2 linked regions of the Callithrix jacchus genome follow. The protein of the gene in region 1 interacts with the protein of each later gene in a pairwise test. Links are inferred from orthologs where the notes say so. Each region holds a gene or a part of one and is shown on either strand. Other genes may lie near its edges.

Region 1 (3,748 bases):
CGATGCTGGGAGTGTGCGAGAAGGGGTGGTCAGACATCTGCTCAGAAATTGCTTCCTTTCTTTCAACTTTCAGTTTTTCTACGAGGAGACATTTAAAAACGACTTGCACACACAAATGGTCTTTTTGGGGTAAAGGAGTCCCGGTTGGAAACGAAATTCTCTCTGCGACTGGGAGGAGGACCTCCCTGGTGGAAACCTTGGGAAGACCAGCCATCTGGTCTGGGAGGGTTGGGGCTACTCGGTGGTGGGTGAGCGAGAGGCCCTGGGGGAGGGGAGACCCCCTCACCCACAGGATCCCGAGGGTGGCGTCACCCACAGGATCGCCACACTTTCGCTTGTCGTCTCCTTAAAAGATAACTTCAGGAAGACGGTAGCATAATCGCGCCCGGTCCTGAAGTTTTAAGCTGATTTCGACCTGAGCAAAACTCAACCTCCCTTTCAAAGGGTGGGGGGTGGGAGGTTAAATCCTGCGCCTCCAGGTAAGCGAGAAGGTCTGTGTCTTTGGGGCTCGGACTCGCGAACCTCTTCCCACTCCTAGGACCTCCCGGCTGTAGGTAGCGGAGGCGGCTGCCCCATTCCACCTCCGGCTAAAGGCCAGGTCCAGTCTGCAGCCAGACGCCCCCGGAGCCCTGTGAACAACAAAGCGCCAGAGAAGGGTACCCTAACCTTTCCTCCCCACTCAACAGCTATCTGGGACCAGGGGGCCTCCCTCCCCCACGGCCACCGTGGCCTCGTCAGTACTTTCGCCACGCCGGCCGCATGTCTAGAATTCCCGGGGTACCTCGGAATTACCTGGCCCGCAACTGCTGGCCCGCTTGCCTTTTGCCAGGATTTAAGCAAACGGCACGACCCCACAGTGGGCGGGTGGAGTGGACCGCGGCGAGAGCAGAGATTCTGGCACTCACTCCATTCAGAACTTAAAATCCGAGCAAAGAGCCCCCAGGGACTGCCGGGGGTCTGAGCCAGGTCGAGGGCCACACAGGTAGCCGAGGAGCCGCCACTGGCCGCCCAACCCGCCTCTCCTCCGTTCCCCCATCCCCCTCCCGCTAGAGTCTAGCCCCGGGCTCCGCAGCGAAGGAAGCGTCGAAGGACGTCCCACCCCCACAGGGAACTGTGCCTGCTGCCCCCGCAGGGCCCCGCACGGCCCCGGCTCTCCCCCTACTCGCCCCCCAGAAGGTCGGCCTCGGCGGATAGAAACGGGAGCAGCAATGCCTTTCCCCCCCCCTCCTCCACTTTTTTTTTGTTGTTGTTGTTGCTTTCCCACGCTGGCTGAATGTGACTTGACCCCATTTCAAAAAAGTTTGACATAGTGCTTCAACATTTCCGCATTCCTCCGCGACTACAAAGGCTGCAGCCGCCTCCTTCTGCTTTCTGTCTCTGCTCTCTGTCTTCACACTCAATGAAATCCTTCATGCGCCTCTCCCGAAGCCTGCCAAGCACCGCAAGGGTCGCCACCAGCACAGCGACAAGAGGCCACACCGGGGACCGCGACTCCCGCGTGTGCGCACACGCAGATGCGCCCATGTGCACACGGTCGGGCGCGCTGCGGTACCAGGGTTGCTCACCGCGGGGCGTGTGTTTAACTCCAGTATTTAAAAGTATAAAAGTAAACTTGGAAACTAAAGCAAACGTGCGTCTTCGCGGGTCTCCAAGCCTGGGCACTGGCCGGTTGCGTGCACTCTTCTGTGCATAACACGCCCGCAGGAAGCCTGCGTTAACATTTATCTCGTGGAGGGGAAGGTGGAGCCCACACCCACACCTCAGCGAGCTGGAGGGGGAGCTTTGGTGGGGGAAATAGGGGGATGGAAGCACATTTTCCAGCATGGAGTCCCCAGAGGCAGTGCATTTGAAACCCTAAATGTGAATTATTATGTGAGTGTCCGAGTCGAGTTCCAGTTCCGTTGGAGAAACTGGATGGGGAGTGTTCTGCGTGGGTGTGTGTGCGCATGGATACGTGGAAGCAGGATCTCGGTGTCGTGGGTGTCCCTAGCATGGGATCTCCCCTCTCATCAGGAGATTCCTCTAGCTCCCCAAAACTGGCCCCCGTAACCAACCCCGTCTCAGTTTGTAAGGGGTTAACCAAAGCCGATTCCAGGGAAACACGGGTCCCCCCCCACCCCACCCCACCCCGCCACGCTCCACTTACCCCCACCCACAGTTATGCCTCGGACCCGGGCCAATCTCTCAGATCTCCCCCGGGACCCCCCACCCCGCAGCCCACCCACCCGAGCGCACGGCTCCTCACCTGAGGGGCCCAGTCGCGTCGGGCCTCCTGAGGAGGCTGCGAGTGTCAGTCGGCTCTCCGCACGTGTCCACGGCCTGGCGGAGCAGGTAATCAGACTCTGGGGAAGGAGTTACCAGCACTCTCCGGCGAGGGGGTGGGCACAGCGGCAGAGGGCGGAGGGACGGCGGAGGGCGCCGCCCGCGCGACTCGCTGGGGGCGGACGGGGCCGCGGGGATCCGGCCGGCGCTGGGGGCCCCAGCCGGGGAGGCAGCGTGGGAGACCGCGCGGGGGAGGCGGGGACCCACGAAGGCAGCTCTGCCAGAGAGCCACCCCTCGGCGGGGCTGGGGGCTCCTGGCGCAGAGGCAAGCTGGTGTGCAAATTAAAGCTTTCCGGAGAAAGGGGAGGCGGCCGAGCCCCGGCAGGGCTCTGAGCTCCAGGCTCCCCAGCTCCGGTCTACGCGTCGGGGGCTAGAAGGGCGCGGGGCGGAGGCGGGGGAGTTAAATGAAAATTTCCGGCTTTCACTGAAACTGGAGTAGGGGGATCCCGCTACTAAAATAAGCTGCGTTAGTGGGAGAGAGTGGGGACGTGTCGGGAGTCGGCGGAGTTTCCAAACCCAGGGTCTCCAAGAGTTGGGGTTTTGACAGGGTGAAGTGGGGGTTATCCTCACTGTGTGACGTGGACGGATGGGAAAAACAGAAAACAACCAACAATAATTATGAGGGGCCGATGGGGGTGGAAAATACCAATACTTTACAAGAAACTGAAAAATCAGACCAAAAATTAACTCTTCTCTATTAAAAAAAAAAAAGTTTGGCAGGATGCCTTGCAGAAAAGAAATACTAATCTGTCCAAGCACTTTTCACTTTCAGCATGAGCTACATTTGTTTTGTTTTCCTTCGCTTCCTTTCGGCCTCACAAAGCCCTATATTTTCCTTTTAGAGGATATGGTTTGGAAATTATCAGGCACTCTTATGGTTAACGATCTACTTGAAGGGGCTGGCGGGTTCACAATTATTAAGTGGTCAGTAACTGCTGAGGGTTCACTAACGTATTTCAGAGGAGCTAAAAAGACTAAAATGTAGTGCAAATAATAGAACTGCAGATAGTAGATACATACACACAAAGAGGGGTGCTCAGTTTAAATGCATTATTGGAATTCTGAAATTTGAAACCTGGTAAGAATGTATACTTTACCTGCTGAGAAACCCTTGAATACAATTATTTTAGATGAAAATGAGATTTTGGACAAAAAAAAAGTCTTTAAAACTTTCTACAATGGAGTAAAAGAAAACTTGAAATAGCTGTCTTTTTGGAAAGAATTTAGTGTTCTCCAAAATCTGTATCTGTAGAATACTTGAAACCCTTTAAAACATCTAAAAGCAAAACTTTTCACAAAATTATTTACTTCAGTTCTTTGTAGAAAAATTAAAACCCTGCAAAATTCTGTTTTAGTTGGAAATACTACTTCTATAAATCTTTTGACTTTAAAACCATGTTATTAATCTCACAGTAAATCAAAATTT
Region 2 (3,748 bases), on another chromosome or scaffold:
GATGAGGAGTCAGAGCTGAGGTATCCTAGAAGAAACAGGTGGAGACTCTCATTTTGCAATATACAACCAATTGCCCTCCTTTTAAAACTTTGTCTTCCTCAGCACTCTGAACCAAAATGATTCTGTAAATAAAAATTGTTCACTCTAAGGAGACGTTCACTTGTGTAGTTCCTCACCAAAGTTTTTAGGCAACAAATCCATAATTTGTTGTTTTCTTCCTAGCCAATTTAGCATCAGCTGAAATTTTTTAAAATAATATAATAAATGTTGATTCAAACTCACCTAGGAAGATTAGAAAGGGGAAAAAAGGCACTTGGCATTTAAATCTTCAGAAGAGAATTTAATAACAGGTTCAGCCTGTTTAATGACAGGCCCAGCACCACACCCTTCTCTTATTATGTTTCATCATTACTGCATAAATTTCCTTTACTACTCACGATAAATAAAAAATTAAATGCTTGACAAAGTGGATTTAAACAGGTAAGAGTGCAAACAAAGATTTGCTGTACAAATATGATGAAACTGGGATCTCAGATTCTTAAAGTATAAATTTTTTTTGTCTATGTGTTCCAGGTTGCCACTCTCAATCTCTAACTAGTTTTTTTTTTTCTTTTTTGAGGGTTATATTCATAATGCAAAGATGGAAAGAATTTAAAGGCACATGCAAAACAGGATTCTCAGAATTTTTCTCTATTATTATGGTTGACTAATTCAAATAGGAAGACACGTCCAAAAGAAAATTGCTAAGGTTGACACAAGATATGAAACTTACGAAGTTCAAGTACTGCCTGGGATGAATTTAACTTGTATGACAGGTGCAGAGCTGTCGCTTTCAGACATCTTAAGAAAGACGGAGTTATTTTCAGTGCCTTTCTCTCAGCCACAAGGGAGCCACCAACGTCTCTCAAGTGAAACCAACTGGCCTAAGGCTGACGGAACAGAAGTCCTCTGCTCCGCCTACTGGGAATTAGAAGCTGAGGGCAGTGGGTCAACATTCCCAAAATCTTAGCCTTGGATTTACTGGACATCCAGCCAGCAGTGCTGCCGGCGTCCCGGCGGCTCCCCGGCCCAGTCTCTGGCGCATGCGTCCCAGCACCTTTGGGCGGGCTTCCCCGCCGCCGTGACGCGTCGACCGGGCCGGGCCTTCCCGCGAGCAGGCGGGCAGGGGGCGGAGCCTAAGGGGGAGGGGAGAGGCAGGCCCCTTGGCCCAGCTGAAAACTGAATTCTTTGCCGGCTGGCTCCCCACTCTGCCAGAGCAAGGCGGGGCAGTGAGGACTCCGCGACGCGTCCGCACCCTGCGGCCAGAGCCGCTTTGAGCTCGGCTGCGGCCGCGCGAGGCGCTTTTTCCCAGAAGCAATCCAGTCGCGCCGGGTGGTTCTTGGGGCCAGGAAAAAGCCCGGAGCTAATACCCGCCGCTCTGACATCGAACGGGGCCGCAAGCCGCAGACGCACGGCGGAGGGGAATGAAGCTGAGTCCAGCTCTCCCAGGAAGACAGTGCGCCGGAGCGGCGTGGGAAAGAAGGGAGGAGTGTCGTTAAGTTTACCGCCCACGGTGGATTACCCGGGCCGCTGCGCGTCTGGGGGCTGCGGAATGCGCGAGGAGAACAAGGGCATGCCCAGTGGGGGCGGCAGCGATGAGGACCTGGCCAGCGCCGCGGCGCGAGGACAAGTGGAGAAGGTGCGACAGCTCCTGGAGGCCGGCGCGGATCCCAACGGAGTCAACCGCTTTGGGAGGAGCGCAATCCAGGTAGCTGGGCCCCGGGGCCTCGCCGGCAGGGGGCGCGCGAACGCGGGGCGCGGCCTCGGTGGGTCGGGGCTGGAACCTAGATCGCCGGTGTAGACTTACGCAGCAGTCTCCCTTGGCCGGAGGTGTACAGCCCAGGCATAAAACAGGCTTTTACCCAACAAAAATCCTAAAGAGAGAGATTGAAAAACCCACTGTTTCAGCTTTTCTTTAAAATATTGTTTTCTGCCATCTCATGATCAGAAATGCAAGGAATAGATTGAATTGGGAAAAAAAGGAGAAAGGGAAAGTTTATTTGGGGAGGAAGACTTGTCTGCCTGCTTTCAACGATACAGATAAGTAAACTAAGTTATACATTCTGGATTGGATTTAAGGAATTCTACAAAATCATAGTACATGGAAAAAATTCAATGTAAAGTTTTAAGCTACTATATGAAATCTGTTGTATTGTTTTCTCATAAAGGTTAATTGAATTCAAAGTAATAAGACTGGATTCCTCAACCACAGTACTTAGTTCTTTTTATGTTAGCAATGTCTTATAAGTGATGCATAAGAGAAAAATATATACATATAGTTCTATAGATTTTTCATTTAATTATCATACTCAGTGCTCAGATTACAAAAATATTCCTGCAGCTACTGTTAGGTCCTTTCTGAATGACAAAGGATCTTCATAAATAAGGTATCTTTATCTTCATTGTTAAAGTACTTGTATTCAATGTTTACAAATCCTGCTTTAATTAGTACTGATATTTTTAATTTCTTTTACAATCTTAGGACAACACTTTTGTACTTTACCATTGGCTATTGGTCATATTCAGTATTCACCTCACTATCACCCTCCAAAACTAAGCTAATACTAAGGGATCTTGTTACAGTGTAGATTTTATAGAAGTGTCCATTTCTTTTGAATTCTTAGAATAGAGGTAAAACAAATAAGGGATATTTTAAAGGAGCAAAAATATTGTAAAGTGGTTTTTTAAAACTTAAAATTCTATTAATAATTATAAAAACAAGTTATATATATAATTCACCATTTTCTGAAATACTAAGAACAGCTATTTTCCCCTCTGTTTTCTATGTAAAATACCTTACATCGCTAGTAAAAAAATAACATCATGGTTTTCAAGGGAGGAAATGAACATTTCTAATATTAATGAAATAAGCAAACAAAACATGAGAAGTATACTGCCTTTCAATTAAATGGTACATTTTAAAGTACATAAACCCATAACTTGATTTGGGACATTTACCAAAAACTGTCTTATAATTAACTTAAAATATGTCAGCAAATGTTTTGATAATGTTCATGTACACAAATGGCTGCTATAGGATTACTCCTGCAAAACGCTTTTTCTAAGTTATGCATCATCCTGATTGACTGCTGACATCCAAGCTCTTTTTATTTATTTTATTTTATTTTTTATTTTTTTGAGATGGGGCATCACTCTGTTGGGCAGACTGGAGTGCAGTGGTATGATCTCAGCTCACTGCAACCTCAGCTTCCAAGGTTCAAGTGATTCTCCTGCTTCAGCCTCCCGAGTTTTGGGGGCTGTAGACCGGCCCCACCACTCCCAGCTAATTTTTTTTCTTTCTTCTTTTTTTTTTTTTTTGTAGTAGAGACAGGATTTCACCATGTTGGCAAGGCTGGTCTCCAACTCCTGACCTCAGGTGATCTGCCTACTTCCGCCTCCCAAAGTGCTGGGATTACATTACCTGGCCCAAGCTCTTTTTATATAGCAAAATATTTACTATTTAACGTTATAAAATCTTAGCTATTATACAATCCTATAGTACATGGAAAAATATAAATATATTGTTAGTTTTACATTACATTAAATATATTACACTCTAAATTTAAAATGATGAACTGTTTAACAAAAATCATTTGTTCTCACAATTTTATAAGATTTTGCATGATTTAATTTACTTTTCCCTTCTAATCTCCAACTTTGGCTCAAATTTCACACTACAATCTCTTTATGAACACAGACACAAGATAAA

The links. The genes of interacting proteins can lie anywhere in the genome.
Region 2: the proteins of CDK6 (region 1) and CDKN2B interact in binary tests that used the Homo sapiens proteins (3 or more experiments, as listed by UniProt). The link is inferred for Callithrix jacchus from reciprocal best matches to the Homo sapiens genes CDK6 and CDKN2B.

The regions. Positions count from the first base shown.
Region 1 is NC_133512.1:56,784,951-56,788,698, reverse strand, and holds the start of CDK6 (cyclin-dependent kinase 6), read right to left. Parts: upstream 2,338-3,748; 5' UTR 2,246-2,337; exon of another isoform or gene 1-2,245. UniProt on the Homo sapiens protein: Serine/threonine-protein kinase involved in the control of the cell cycle and differentiation; promotes G1/S transition. Phosphorylates pRB/RB1 and NPM1.
Region 2 is NC_133502.1:129,005,521-129,009,268, reverse strand, and holds the start of CDKN2B (cyclin-dependent kinase 4 inhibitor B), read left to right. Parts: upstream 1-1,244; 5' UTR 1,245-1,591; coding exon 1,592-1,747; exon of another isoform or gene 1,748-1,913; intron 1,914-3,748. UniProt on the Homo sapiens protein: Interacts strongly with CDK4 and CDK6. Potent inhibitor. Potential effector of TGF-beta induced cell cycle arrest.